Linked DNA regions of Neodiprion lecontei. The protein of the gene in region 2 binds, or shares a complex with, the protein of the main gene of each other region. Links are inferred from orthologs where the notes say so. Each region holds a gene or a part of one and is shown on either strand. Other genes may lie near its edges. The genes, in order: electron transfer flavoprotein subunit alpha, mitochondrial; probable medium-chain specific acyl-CoA dehydrogenase, mitochondrial.

Region 1 (7,928 bases), on a different chromosome or scaffold from region 2:
CGAGACATTCGAAAAATTTCACAAATACCGATTCGGAGATTCTGAATCTCTAAATGGCTCTTAAAATTCTGCTCTAATAATATCAGGCTAGTTGATATTCCATTTGGTAGCGGACGATGAGGTTAGCTTGGCCATCACGGCCTGTGGTGTATGCGAGCGTGGTTCACTGTCTCCGAGTTACGGCCACGCGATGATACGTGAAAAATAATTTTACGACTCTTGGCGATCCGGTTCGGCCGGTTATAACGCATTGAAAGAATTGACCGTAAATGCGAAGTGACAAAGCGAGAATAGATATTGAAAATCCGCATACAGAAGTATACAATTTATGGGTATAGATATATTGATGTATGTCACGCATCGTGCATACCAGGATATGACGCATACTCGAAAGATCCGAAAAAAATGCATTTACAAACCCGTTTTAAATCACTTCCGAGGTCGTCGTGAATCAATCGTAATCGTTTCCTGAGATATACTCAAAAAAAGATCGACCCCTTCCAAAGATGAAACAGGTAGTATTGTTGCTCGTTTGATCTTCAATAAATGATTTATTTTACACAAATATATTTTCTTCGTTTTTTTTTCTTTAACTGGAGTTAGCAATATCTTACACGAATATTTACATAATCTGTGTACAAACGTTTAATATTAAGTGCAGTAATATCAAACCTATCTTGTATTACATGGATTATCGCGTACGATTCTATCTTGAATGCAGATCGAGTTAACACCACTTTCTTCAATGTCCAGGGACTGCAGAGAGCAGAGTTTACTGCAGATTTCGTCAATCTATTGAAAAACTCAGTATGTGTATCTAGGAATCCGGTAGATACCTACACTGAAGGCTTGTTTCCATTCGGGATCGCTTATAGCTTCAGTGAAATGGTTATATCGGCTCCACTGGTATGTAACACATTCTTCTCAGCACAAGAATCGGTAAATTTGGCAAAAACAATACTACAAGTAAAACCAAAGGTGATAGTAATAACAAGACGCTAGCGTAAGCTAGTAGCCACCAAATTGGAGATATTCCTATCACTGGCTCGAGCATTTTGATTGTCGTAGATATGTACTGTTTCGCTGCTTATTTTGATCCTTATTTATCCTACCACTCTTAATTCCTACCACTAATCTTCGCCGTTGACGTTTAAAGGACTCCCTCCCCTCCCCCCGCCCCTGTTGCTCGGTGTCATTAAATGCGATATGATGCTCTGACGTCTCCGTTCAACTGGGCGACGACGTCTAAATTTTCACAGCCATTTCTATGTATTTTACTGTTTATACAAGTTCCTCCGGTTCATTGTCCACTGAAATATTCTCCTATCCAATTTTAATCAATTCTGAAACAATTTACAACAAATTTTAATCATTTTGAATCTGCAGTAACAACATAATAATTACTTTAAATTGTTGTCGTAATTTTCAAGTGAGCTATCGCATTTTTCTCGTCTACCTACACGAGAATATGAAACTTGACTAAAATGTGAGTGGAAATAATGGGAGGTGCAGCTGGTTCGTCATACCTTACAAATTTCCTAAAATTATGAAGCATCGGAAGAACAACTCACTTGAAATACCACAGACACACACAGGCACCTACAATATTCGGAGTTGTTTTCACTTTTTTACGGCATATGCAATGTACGAGAACGAATAGAAGAGTATAAAAGACGCAATGGAAGTCGCTTCGGTGTTTCAAATAATTTCTGGCAAGAATCACAAGCTAAATGAAAGATATTCCAGCTTCCGCGTTATGCAAATTTCACAACTTGTGTTGCAATTAATAACGTGACGTCAATTTTACCGGGGTAAGACACACACTCGACAATGCAAAGTAGATGTTATTGCACCTGTTACGCTTGACATGAACTGGCTCGAATTGTTTGGGCCTCTCGCAAGTATAGAGTAATGCTGTTATTTTCGACGGGATACCTGTACGACGGAGAGATGAGTAAGCTGACAATCAGGTAGAGCACTGTATTTGATCAACTTTACAACAATCCCAAGTTAAATAATAGACCTATTACGGGTCGATTGCGCAAACGTTGGAAAAATTTCACTTTCTTTGCCGCAATCTCGTTAACTTGGCCGCATGCATTGTCGAGAGACAGTCAAGAGAGTTATGTACGTATATACGAACAAAGCGAATCGGAATTTACGGTTATCGAATAATGACACGAGGCGAGGGACGATTTCAAACTCAATTTCAAACTGCAGCATCAACGCCGAGTCAAACTGACACACTTTGAAATTACATCACGTTGAGAGTACAAGGCCACCAACTTCACTGACTTACTTTCAATAGCGATGAATTACAATCGTGCAGGTTATCCGAAACTGCTAAACTTTTTCACGACTGAAGTGACGGCTGTGGTATGAATTTGTGAGATGAGCACAAAGTTGCGAGAGACTTTTGTGTTTAAAAAATGATTACGGATGACCTCCAAACCTGAATCAGTATTAGGTCCGGCGTTTCGTCAACATTTAAACTGATGTAATCGGCCCGAGATACATCCGCGCCATCAACTCGGCAAAAATAACAATACAGTGAAAAACACGCGAGGAAGATAGGAAGCCGCACGACCTTGGGGAATAAAAACCTGTTTGGCACAAGCGATCTACGCAGCGGTGAGTGAAACAAAAGCGAAGATTTAGAAAATTTCCCCGGCTGAATTACCCAGATTGCAGTAAAGCGTTCTAAAACAAACATTAGTTGCATTCAAGGATGACTGAAGAAAAGCTGCGATTATTCAAAACTTCGACACTCGAGAGCGGGTCAAAGCACGCACCTAACCCCAAGAAGCAAATCTGTTTCTATGACTTGATCGAAAATTTTCGTCTACCTACACGTAGAATCATAGTTCACACTAAAATGTTTTTTTTTTATAATTAATCGCAATATTTTCAACCACGCATGTGGATATGACATTTGACAATGGGGTGAAGACGTTAGGTCGAAGGTGGAGATGAGTGAAGACTGAGAGGAAGAATAGAAATAGAAATAGAAGAAACGGATAAACCACGTGTACCTACCATAAATCGAATAAGTCAGCCGACTTTCAATCACCCGGGACTAGAACTGCGACCTGCGTCGTAGAACTGCGCAGGTGCCAGTTGCAGGAGCACCGGGCTTCAACTTCGTTCTGAGACTCGATTCACAAACTGCGCTTTCCCTTTCATTTAAACACGACTACCTAACGTTATCCACGAGTCACCACCTTAAATTTGTTCGTCATTGTGCGCAACACGTACAAAGCGCAAGACTGTGCGCGTGTGGTACATATATGTGCATTGAAATGCGTGAGAGCATTGGCAAATCTGCAAACTGGACGGCATTGACAAGAGATTTCTGCCTCGTGTTTAACCTTCTCCAACTTCTCTCCGGACGGTTTGCTTGTTCATTTATTTATTACTACAGAGTTTTAAAGAGTAGTAACAGAGGTTGAAAAATTTGTAGTATTGCAAACTGAGAACTTTAGAGGTTTGACTTGCCAATTTGTAAATACGCACATTGTTCCGATCGCGTTTGTTGATCAAGTTTCATTTGATTCGACTACTGGGTAGAAAATGATAACTTACGAACATATTGCAAGCTCTTTTCGCAATTTCGTTTTACATTTTATTCTTCCTCCCCTTGCGCACGCGCTTGAGCGGAATACACGTATGCCTGTGCATATACGATATACGGGGAACTACGACAATGATGCGGCATAAGTGCAACGTACTTTAACAAAGACGACCTTCGCAATCCGCATGCAGAATTTTTCTCCCGCGTTGTTTTGCTTTCCTCTGCCTACCGACTTCTACCTCCTACCTACAATCTCCTCGACGTCTATTCTATTCGTTGTGCTTGCATATACCGTGTGGTTCTAAGTGTCCAAGCTTATGGAAATAAATATCAAACCGGTCATTGCCTGTCACTGATGAAATTCTACGTTCGTAAAAGTTCTACGTAGTTTCTAACAATGCCATAGAAATTGCATGACGGATAAAGATTTATTGAAATAATATACCTAGATTTTTTTCGTCAGTTATTTTATAGCATTTAACAAATTCTTAGCTTCAAGTATAAAAGTTGAGAATAATCTTTGTACATTTGGACATACTATATAAACGCATTCAATCACAACTTTGTAGCGAAAAGTATGTATAAGAATGATTTACATTATTATATGATAAAGTAATCTTCCATTTTGTTAAGATACGCATTTGCAAAAGGAGCTCGAGTTCTCACAACTATTTCTCGAATTACCAGTCATCGTTTCTCACGAGAAAACATGCGATAATCATATCAATGTGTAAATATTATTTGATACGATATGTAATAATATTATAGGAATTACTATAAGAGACAGCGCTTGTCAAAATAGTACTCACACGGAAACTTGGTAGCTTTTTGAAATATACAAGACTTAGATAACTTTGTTTAATGACCGAATCCTATGGAAGATATTTTGATTTCCTTTTTTGAAACAACGCCGTTAGTATCTGCGTAATTTACACCTTCTCGGTAAGCTCTGGTACCACTTTGAACAAATCTGCTACCAAGCCGTAATCAGCGACTTGGAAAATAGGAGCTTCCGGATCTTTATTTATCGCTACGATTGTTTTTGAATCTTTCATTCCAGCAAGATGCTGAATCGCTCCGGAGATACCCACGGCGACATAGAGGTCCTGCAAGTAAAACCGTTTTCATAGATTTGACGCCTCCCAAGTCTTATCGATTTCATACTAAATCAAAAATTATCTATCGCTCAGCAATCTGGGATGGAGTATAATTTTTTCAAATTGGAATATTATCTCAACAGAACATCTGTGTAAGCTCACCGGCGCTACAATTTTCCCAGTCTGTCCAACTTGCAAGTCATTCGGTACAAATCCAGCATCAACTGCGGCACGAGAAGCACCAACGGCTGCGTTCATTTTATCGGCAAGCGTGTACAGAAGCTGGAAGTTTTCCCCGGATTTTAACCCACGCCCACCAGAGATGACAATTTTGGCAGAAGCGAGCGCTGGTCTGTCGGACTTTGTCAGTTCTTGCTTTACAAACTCGACCGAATTAGACTTATAATCACCCGCTGGTGCTGGCTCTAGCTTGGCGCTCCCTCCTTCTAGAGGCGCTGCCTCGAAAGAAGTCCCTCGAATAGAAACAACTTTTACGCTGTCCTTAGCTTTCACAGTTTGTATAGCATTGCCCGCATATATTGTTCTCACAAACGTGTCTGGTGATTTAACACCGATTATATCACTCACCGGGGAAACATCTAGTTTGGCGGCTACCTAAAATTTATATTATCTTTATTTATATTAAACTTCAGTTATCGAACACCCTGACTGGATATTGTTCGTATCTGCAATTATTCATTATTTGTCTACCCACTCTTGGCAGCAAAGCCTTTCCAAATGCTGTGGCACCTGCGAGAATGTGGCTGAAGTTGAACTGTTTTTGGGTAGCTAATATCAGCGGTGTTATGGCTTCAGGGACGAATCCCTTGAAGGCGTCGTTCTCGGCAACCAAAACCTTAGCTACGCCGTTAGCTTTGGATACAGCCTCCGCTACTGGCCCGCACTTTGTGCCAGCAACCAAGACAGTGATATCCCCACCGATTTGCCTGGCTGCGGTTAATGCATTTTGGGTTATCGTCGACAGAGCCTCGTTATTATGCTCAGCAATTACCAAAGTCGATTGATATCTTTGCAAAAAACTGTTCAGCTGGAAGATGATAATTCACATAAAACTTGGCCAACTCCTAGATGCTCAAACAACCAAACATTATTTTAACATATCAGGTAATTGAGTAAAGAGATACGGTTCGCTTATTACATCAATCTCGTGATGAGGCAATCAAATTAACATAATAGAAAATTGTTATATAAGTATTGTAGTAAAGATAGAGGAAGCTAAAAATTTAATACAACCTACTTGAAATTGTGCACTGATCAATTATCAATTTTCATTGAAGTTTGGCTCACCTGAGTTTTGTGTCTGATCGTACGGGAACAGTTGACAAACATTTTGAAATTATTCCAACGGTTGACGAAAATAAGGTTTGCCAAATATGTCTCAGTTTGCAATACTTCTCACTCGACTGTTGTGCGTTGCAAGAAGTGGAGCACGGTGGCAAAGTTGATAGGCAAGTCCAAAGTTTGTTTTATGTATGTACATAGACCGATATATGGTACATACGTACGTGATGACGATATTCTTACGGCTTACCGACGGGCTTCGGCCAGAGGTCTCTAGCTCTACTTTTTCCATCATGGCGGCAAAGAGTCGGTGAATAAAACTAGCTGTGAATCGCCAGCTGTATCTACTTAGTTACCCAATTCTAGCATATATTAATGTAATATTCGAACGCTGTTGTAATTACTGTGAAATCAGATTTAGCAAGATCAATCAACTGCAGGATATTGCGACGTCGGGAATGCCAGCGAAATAATAAAAAGTAAATCACGTACGTGTATAAGCATATGTACCTACTGTACATACGCAGATCATTTTTTCAATCAGCCATAGGCCACCTTGAACTTTCCTTACAAATCTTCAGCATCTTTAACGTGTTGTCACGTGCGACAATAAGTAATAATATCGATCTAAAATAAATAGGACATGACGCAAGTGCCGGTTGTGTATTTGACCAGGAAAGAAACAATATCTGCTTGCCATCGCCTTCATAGGTATTCGATAATATAAAAATGAATGATGACGCAATAATTAAGCACGCATGCCACTAATTAATAACGTGGAAATTTTTTAAGCCCACACTTGACCGACGAGCAGAATGCAGCAGTTTACGGAAAGTGTAACAATTTTTGGGGGCACGGACACAATTACACCGGTAAAAAACATACGCATCTACTTGAAGTACTATAATTATTACTATAGTTGTTCAATGCGTAATTAAAAAATTTCGATACACAACTCATGTTTTTTTTCTTTTTTCAGTGGAGGTCACAGTGCGAGGTCCTGTGGATGAAAAAACTGGAATGGTAATGAATATTTCCGATTTGAAAATTTACATGAAAAATGTGTTGATGGATAAATTAGATCATAAAAATTTGGATAAAGATGTGCCATATTTCAAGCACGTTGTTTCGACAACAGAGAATGTAGCTATTTTTGTCTTCGATGAATTGAAGAAAGAAATGCCCAAACCTGATTTATTGTACGAGGTAAAAATATATGAAACTGATAAAAATATTGTAATTTATAGAGGCGAATAATTATTGGAGCCAATCGATAAGAGTTCGTTTTATAAAGGGGCGCATATGCCTATGTGCATATGAAATAATATATTTTCGAGAACATGACAGTAATCACAGATCAACAATTTAAGTACGTTATTACTTAATCAATGATATTAAGAAATTTTTCCTATTATCTTGCGCAAAGTTCGATTTTGCGCATGCATTTGCGTTCGCAAAGTACCGCTTTCCCACACGTTGACAAGAGCGTGCGGGAATGCAACTGAGCGAACGGGGATGTAGCTGAGCGTGCGGGAATGTATAAGAGTATACGAGCGATTCCAAGGTATATACGCGCGCGCCATCTCTGCGGCACTCTCTTAGCATTGACACGTGCGAGCGATACTTTGACGTTCGTTAAAATATACCGTTTCGTTTTGTAAATTGTCACGTTACGATAAATATTAATAATAATTGAAAATAATAAATAAATCAGATTTTTCTTAATTTAATAAATTTATAATAGTTCTATAATTTGTTTTTTTGTTTTGGGCGGGGGGCTTCGCCCAAAAATAAGTTTCAATTATTCAAAATAATTGTAGTGGTCGGACTTTGCGCAACTTAATAGGAAAAATAGTATACGTACTATTACATTCCGAATTTAGCATTACATCTATTTCGTATTCCAATTACTTGTTCGCACTTACGATTAGTGTTATACGTCATATAAGTATGCTACA
Region 2 (7,862 bases):
AACTTGACTAACGTGCGACGCGACGTCGCGCGGATATTCTAAACAGATTACTTTCGTTTTCGCTCGTCTCACTTTCTAATCTCGCCGGGCTGAATACACATTCGCACACGTACATTACAAACATACGCGCGTCGTTCGAATGATTTCGTTTTTCACCTTGTTTTGCTCTGTTTCTTTCTCGTCTTGTCGCGTATATGTTTAAAACGTAACCGTTGCTGGCGTTCCAGGGTATTCAATGAATTCTATGAACATTTTCAACTGCGTTCACATTAATAATTTCATATGAAGCAAAAAATAAAATGTCCGGAATAAATTTCGAGGTATTTTTCGAAAACAACTCTCCACTGTAATCCCATATGAACATTAGAGATATGACTCATCATTCACCCCGCGAAACCTTGGAGAAATGGACTATAAAATACAAAATGCAAATTCCAGGATCACGAAGAATTTTACGGGAATAAGCAAATTATTTTACAAATACGTATAGATGATGCTAAAGTTGTCAAATCTAATGTCTCCTAAATATTGTATATTATACAGTCTACGACACGGATGAATGAAAAGTGATAAAGATAAGGAGAGAATATATTTACAATTTGAAATGGATTAGGAAACAGGTAGAGAATAATTTACGCTTCAGAAGTAAACTTCAGTCAAGTAAAGAGAATAAAAAATATATATTTTTTGTGAGCCTTATTTCACTAAACGCCCATATTTAAGACACACGCTATTTCATTAGCATTATGAATTCTGTAAGAAATTTTGTATGTACAATTGTATTGGTGGAAACAATGATGCATTGAGAATTATCTCAGCATTCTTGGTGCAATGAGATATTATTATGATTTGTACATGTGATTGATATGATTTGATCATTTACCACCTTGTTGAGCCTCTGACAATAAAGCACGTGATATAATCATTCTTTGAATTTGAGCTGTACCTTCGTATATTTGATAAATCTTAGCGTCTCTCATTAGTTTCTCTACAGGGTATTCAGTGTTGAAACCACAGCCGCCAAATATCTGTAAAGAATCACACGTTGATACTTGGTGATTATACCTATTGGTGATTAAACACTAAGTAGTTTCAAATCAAACGTAAAAAACTGAATTCTACGTTCAACTTGCCATTTTGTACTTATGGATATGAATAAAAACTTTTTACGCAATGCTTATCGAATATACAATTGCAATTCTGGACTTGTGACAAACCTGTACTGCATCTGTGGCGCACTTATTAGCCACGTCTGCGGCATAACATTTAGCAATACTGGCTAGAAAGGTGTTCCTTTGGCCGTTATCGACAGCCCAAGCAGCTTTCATCCAAGCTAGCCGAGCTGTTTCGATTCCAATCGCCATATCAGCCAACAGGAAAGCTACTGCCTGATGTTCGGCAATGGGTTTGCCGAAAGTTTTTCGTTCCAGAGCATACTTGGTAGCTTCGTCCAGTGCTCTTTGCGCCAGTCCAACTGCACCAGACGCAACCTTGCAACGATGAAATAGTTTTCAAAGAATATGAAATTCCACGACAGAATTCTATTGAAGGAAAAAAAATAAACAGTTACCGGAGGACGAGTTTTGTCAAAAGCTCCCATTGCAATCTTGAAACCTTGACCCTCACCGAGCAAGACATTCTCCTGTGGGACACGTACATCTTCAAATGTGATCATGCGGGTATCAGATGCTCTTTGCCCCATATTCATTTCCTGAAAGTTTTATCCCTGAAAGTTACTTTTCTAACCGTGGGGTAACAAGTAAGTCATCCGATCATTAAACTTACTTTACGTCCAGGAGTTAGACCCGGTGTATCCCGCTCGACGATGAAACCAGTAAATGCCTTACTAGTCGGTGCTTTAGGGTCTGGATTAGTGCGAGCCAGAACAAAGTACCTATGAAAATGGAAAAATTGAATAGGATTAGAGTTCTTTTAATTTTGTATTATTAGTAATAAACTTCACATTAAATCAAAAATGCCGTTATAAACAAAGTCATGGATTTTCAGGAATATCAACTCTCTTACCACCATTCCTTTTGTCACAATTCATTCTATTAATCTATTCATTCAATTATTTTAGGCTGAACTGAATTTCAAAGTGCTTAAAATTGTACTTGCTAGATTGTAAATACACGTAGTTAAATTTAAGGAGTAAATTTCTACCCTCAATATTACCAATTGGCAACACCGCCATTTGTTATCCACATTTTAGTGCCATTGATAACCCATTCATTTCCTTTTTTCTCTGCTCGAGTTTTAATGGCGCTTACGTCAGATCCAGCCCCAGGTTCGGTTACACAGTAGGCCTGCCATGAACGAATCATTATCAATTTATTCACTTACTATCATAGCCTGAAGAGTTCAAGTTATATCTTGGAACTCGTGGAATATGGCAATTGCCGACCCTTACAAAAAGTAAATTCTTCAATCACACAGATTTCCAGCAAATTTCTCGCGATATCTACACGCGTTCAAAGGTTATTCACAAGTCTCAGTACCTTTGATCCACTCTGTATGAAATGTGTAGCACGAACCTTGGTATTCAAATTGTGATGTGATTGAAAAAACAACCGAATTAAGAGATGAAAACATTTTTCATTAATGAGTTTCTTATGTTGAGTATTAAAACACTAGTAAATTAGTATATACTATGCATAGAAGAATGACACACTCTGGTTCTTGAATAGAAGGGTAACTTACCGCTAGAAGTGGTTCGTCAATGAGTCTTCCCAAGTATTTCTTTTGTTGTTCTTTAGTTCCAGCAATAATCACAGGCATTTGCTATGAAATCAATTTTAACACATATTTAGGAAATACGGAATGTACTTTAAAACAGCAACAACAAGCGCAATAATTTTAATGTGACTAAGCAAAGGTTGTGCTTCAGTAAACTGATATACAGATGAACCTCATTACCAGATTTAAGGACATAATAGATGGTGCATAGACATTCTCAATTAAGCTGCAGCAATTTCTTACACAAAACAGAAGAGACAGAGAGCATTTATTTTCTTTCCCTACTTCGGATCCTCATATGCAAAAACTATTAAAATTAGAAGATGAAAATACTATAGAGTGAAATTTTGGCAATAAAGTTTAAAAAATATAAATTTGCTCATTCAAGACTGCACTGTAATTTACTGTGGAAACCAGTATGAGAGTATTGTTGATCGTGGTGAAAGGATGTTAATGTTTAGAATTAATTCATAAGTTAGTCAACAGACAAAAAAATTAGTTTTCGATCGCGAGCAGAATGAACTTACGCCGAGACCTGATCCCTCCATTGCAGTCTTTATCCCTGTACAGCCATAGGCAAGCTCTTCCGCCACCATGCAACCGTCAAAAATACCACATTCTAATCCTCCTGGAATGTACCAAAAGCCATTTAATGTATCACATGTCATGGCTATTTTGGCATATCGCACGATTTTCGTTTCAATCTCGAAACTTCTCGTTATTGGGTAATGTTTTTTCCCTAATATATCTATTGGACCCACATGTCAATAAGTAATTCATAAAATATTTGATATCGCTTCGATGCTCCCATACAAGCCTCCAAATGTAAAGTAGAACAATACGTAATTACTAAGTAAGATAACCCACCAAGAAATCAACACTGATATTAATGATACGATGAATGACGTCCAACTCCCTTCGGCATGAATCCATATATCAGCTCAAGAACAATGAATTGCGATGGAATGTTACATTCACAAATGCCACTTACTCCTAATTTTGTGGATCCAATGCCACTAGCAATACCAGAGCATCCGTATGCAAGTTCCTCTCCAATCATACAAGAATCAAACGTATTCATTCCAATACCACCTGAATGTCAAATTAGTACTGTATACAATGTTACAACATTGTTCCATCTATTGCTATGCAATGAGCAACAAGTACTATGCTCATAATTTCCTATCGATAGTATTCTGTTTGTTTTGTTAACATAAGAATTCATAACATTGAAACATAAGATTCATTCAGTAATAGTGCGTAATAATAAAATGACTGAGGACATAAAAGTATAGTCGCCATGATAATGTGATGGACTGAACGTCACGGAAAGCCTGCAGAACTGTCGTGAGTATTAATTAACACTTTGTAGAAAATAACTATGTCAACTTATATAATTTGGTAACAATCGGAAATCCACAAAAAGCTGAAAGAGGATGAACTAACGAGCCTGGATGAAACGAGCTGACTGCTCCATAAGCTTGGATCAAATTTTTAAGAATTCTTTTTCATCTCCGGCAGGAACTTACTCCTAAGTCTGTGGATCCAAGACCACCAGCTATACCGGAACATCCGTATGTGAATTCCTCACCAACCAGACACGTCTCAAAAATACCTATTCCCATTCCTCCTGAAGATTCAATTGTAATTGAAAGTGACCGTATTAATTTGGCTTTGAGAGAGAGCAAATTGGTTGTATAATTGTACGATTCCATGTTGATTCCTCATTCCCAATTAAAAATTGAGTATGAAGTAGATACTTCTTTTGATCTTCTGTTTTATTTGACTGTGGTAAACTATCAGCAATTATTATTATATAATGGACAATTTCGTATAGTTGTAAAAACGATTCATTGCGGTATTTTGGCATATGTTAGGATACAGCACAGGAATTGATGTTGAGAAATGCCGTTTAATTGTAGTCTGGATGAATATTTTGCAAAAAAAAAAAAAGGAATGCAGATATTTAAACGAACACAAGTTTTAGAATTCGAAAAGAAATTTAACTTTCGTTATACCACATACAAAAAAACTTGTATCTGATCTTGAACAAGTGTGTGAATTCTCACATTTAAAATAAAATTTTCAACCATCCATGGTAAACCAACATCAAAATATACTTAATCTTCTGATACATTATCAAACATATGGTTCAAATATCTTGACCTTGTTATTGTTCAAATATTATTGTTTTAGCATGACAAATCATTGATTAACAGATATCTTGCAGAGCGATCATGTACCACTATTCTGATTAGATAAATATTACTGCAAAACAGATTGGGGCACGTTTGATTATCAGAGATATAAAATAATCGCACATCACTATGGGTTAAAGTTCAAAACAAACTTACCATCCTAATTATTTCAATTTGGAATTAGCAGTTGTTCAAAAGGTTCAAGATTCAATATATTAAATGGTTGAAACGCTGAACGTTTATCTGAATGGAAATAATAATGGGATTATACTATGCCAGATATATTGGAAAAACTTTGAACTGTGTACAAACAGTATTTGTCAGAATCGATACGAATCGATAGATTTGTTATCAAATTTGTAGAGAAATTGGTTGAAAAAACTTGTGTGGTATATGTTGCTTCAATTGTCATTCATTTGGATGCCCCCAGCTTCAAATACACGAAATATCATATCATCGGAAGAAAATTCTTAGCCAAGGATATTTTGAACATACCGCAATGCTGTGGAATGTGTCCGTTCATGAGTCCCAGACCCCAGGCTTTCTTGACAATTTCCCATGGGAATTTTCCAGTTCTATCGTGCTCCGCAGCTACAGGAATTATTTCTTCTCTTGTGAACTTCCTGGCAAGTTCCTGCATTTCTCGCTGCGTCTCAGAAAGCTCTGAACAAAAAATATAACAACATTGCTTCGGCACTAATTCTGTACTCAGAGTTTAAGTAATCAGAACAGTTTTATTTTCTTCGTAGAAAGTAAAGCATATGCAGCTTGACATTTTTCCCATTGGATTACTCATGATACTAAACTGTTAAAATATAATGTAATTAATGTCAAAATTTAATACTAACGGAAATTGTAGCCATTTGGTACTGCAGCTTGAGAAGAAAAAGACCTGACTGCTGCTTGTCTCACTGACCTACTAATCACCTGCAATTAGACGAACAAATGAAGGAAAATAGTTTGGAATATCTGATGACGATGCAATTATCCCTACTAATATTTTAAACCGTGCGTACAGTCTTGAATATTAGTGAAAGCACACAACGTTCGACGGGGAAATTATACCTGGCTCAAAGACATCCTGAACATAAACGAGTCGATCGACGTTGGAGAAACGATTGAGGTGAGAGTCCAGCTACAACAGTTCAAAAGTTTTGAAACTCGAATGGACTTTAACCCAGAGATAAATACAATCAGCGGACAACGGTGATGGCCTACAATGACCAGTTTTCCATCTGGAGCTAAATACGTATGTAAACTGGTATAACCCAGTATAACCAGAATTGGATTGGAGCAATCTCTTGTATCAAGGCTGTCATTGGTTAATTCATTTGAACTTGGCCGGATTTAGCACTAGATGGCAACGCAGTTGATAACCAAGTATCACATTTGGCAAGAGCATCCAATATACCGCTAAGCGGTGAAAAGCGCGCCTTTTAAAAGTAGAATGCTTGTACTTAATGCGGAGCAATAAGTGCCTTGGAATAAGTGAATGAGATGTAGTGAAATACAAGTAAAAATGAAGTAATTTCTACGGAAACATGTCAAAATAACTTTTATATCTGATGCATGAAAGTCTAAGCTGTCTATCCAATTGTCCGTTTAACGCATCGGGGAGTTTTTAGAGCTGGCAGCTGATTTCAGAACGCACCCTTAGCTACGTCGATTTGTAGAGCTTACAAACACGCGGTATATTTGAGAACTCGCGTTTCGGCCAATCGAAACTCGCGGCTTGTGGCTTGAGCTGGGTCGAGCATCGATCGTACACTGCCATCTAGAAGATCTTTGTAAGGGGTAAACGTCAAAATCGAATAAATAGTCGTCTGCAGTGGCAGACGTCATAATACACGACAGATGAGTAGAGTGGGGTGCGAGCAAGTGTCAATTTGATTATTGTTGTCGGTTTGATATAACAGTGCGGATTACAGTCTGTTATTTACTACCGATGATTGAGAAATTACGCTTAAAAATTTTTGCGGGTGCCACGGGGAGGCGAGAAGGGCCACCCTTTTAATTTCGGGGAAGGAATGACGCTGGAAGACCCCTTCTTTGTCGTCAAGGAGTAAGTTCACAAAATGGGGCTGACGTTATCAATATTTTCTTTGTTTTCTATACTTCTTTTATTCACACTTCAGCTCAAATACGCTGTTGCATCTGATATACTGTCAAATCACCTGGTTTACTTTTTTCTAAACAACAGGCAAAATTGTCATTCATCATTTACTATGTTTGTCAATACACGCGTTTCATGTGTGAGAATCTATTTAAATATCTCGGAATAAATTGCAGCACACGTTTTAAATTTTCGTAAACCGATATGTAAAATTACAAAAATTATTTTTGTCGTTTCTTCGTGTTCAAAATGTATCTTAGCATTATATTTCGCTAATGTTGTTAAAAAATAGCTGCGCTGCTTCTTGACAAAAAACGAATAATCATTATCAATTGTCTTCGTTAATATTGAATAAGGTCGTATAGTGTATACTCTGTGGATTTGCAACAATTTAGATTCGTATTATTCTTACTATTATCGTCATTTACAATCCCACAACTTATACCCTGCACTTAATTATTAAACATATTAATCGAAAATTCATATGTTCACAATATTTGAAACGAGAAATAGATCAAGAGTATCAACTGTGAAAAATTTTGTAAATATATTGAATAAATGTCAACAATGTTTCGTATTCGAATTCGAACCGAAACACAGTAAAATATTTTAATTGGTTTCCTTAATAGATACACGGGTTGTAACCGATGTAAATAAATAATTTCAAATGAAGCAAATTTATGGAAGAATCAGAAAGTTACATGGCTACGATCTGGTTGAACAATTTAAATAATTTTTATGTAGTTAAATTTTGTAAGGATGTAAAACAAAAAGTTGTCGTTTAGCGAGGTGTGCAAGGCTCTAAATAAAACACG

What was found.
Region 1: the proteins of probable medium-chain specific acyl-CoA dehydrogenase, mitochondrial (region 2) and electron transfer flavoprotein subunit alpha, mitochondrial are in contact, whole or in part, in a crystal structure (PDB 2A1T), measured with the Homo sapiens proteins. The link is inferred for Neodiprion lecontei from reciprocal best matches to the Homo sapiens genes ACADM and ETFA. Residues at the interface, in NP_000007.1 of Homo sapiens: Pro163, Lys173, Pro211, Gln232, Arg235, Glu237, Val251, Glu253; in NP_000117.1 of Homo sapiens: Arg223, Lys226, Arg249, Asp253, Ala283, Ile284, Gln285, Glu304.

The regions. Positions count from the first base shown.
Region 1 is NC_060266.1:26,572,896-26,580,823, reverse strand, and holds electron transfer flavoprotein subunit alpha, mitochondrial, read right to left. Parts: upstream 6,117-7,928; 5' UTR 6,019-6,116; coding exon 5,977-6,018; intron 5,717-5,976; coding exon 5,384-5,716; intron 5,284-5,383; coding exon 4,831-5,283; intron 4,678-4,830; coding exon 4,501-4,677; 3' UTR 3,037-4,500; intron 1,344-3,036; coding exon of another isoform or gene 1,338-1,343; 3' UTR 532-1,337; downstream 1-531. Other genes in the region: 6-pyruvoyl tetrahydrobiopterin synthase, read left to right, coding at 6,614-6,681, 6,763-6,842, 6,950-7,227. UniProt on the Homo sapiens protein: Heterodimeric electron transfer flavoprotein that accepts electrons from several mitochondrial dehydrogenases, including acyl-CoA dehydrogenases, glutaryl-CoA and sarcosine dehydrogenase.
Region 2 is NC_060261.1:7,228,693-7,236,554, forward strand, and holds probable medium-chain specific acyl-CoA dehydrogenase, mitochondrial, read right to left. Parts: upstream 6,168-7,862; 5' UTR 6,024-6,167; coding exon 6,000-6,023; intron 5,970-5,999; exon of another isoform or gene 5,951-5,969; intron 5,862-5,950; coding exon 5,783-5,861; intron 5,598-5,782; coding exon 5,430-5,597; intron 4,367-5,429; coding exon of another isoform or gene 4,266-4,366; intron 3,829-4,265; coding exon 3,728-3,828; intron 3,365-3,727; coding exon of another isoform or gene 3,264-3,364; intron 2,782-3,263; coding exon 2,701-2,781; intron 2,307-2,700; coding exon 2,176-2,306; intron 1,895-2,175; coding exon 1,786-1,894; intron 1,712-1,785; coding exon 1,571-1,711; intron 1,491-1,570; coding exon 1,218-1,490; intron 1,029-1,217; coding exon 876-1,028; 3' UTR 662-875; downstream 1-661. Other genes in the region: syntaxin-6, read left to right, coding at 6,962-6,996, 7,833-7,862. UniProt on the Homo sapiens protein: Medium-chain specific acyl-CoA dehydrogenase is one of the acyl-CoA dehydrogenases that catalyze the first step of mitochondrial fatty acid beta-oxidation, an aerobic process breaking down fatty acids into acetyl-CoA and allowing the production of energy from fats.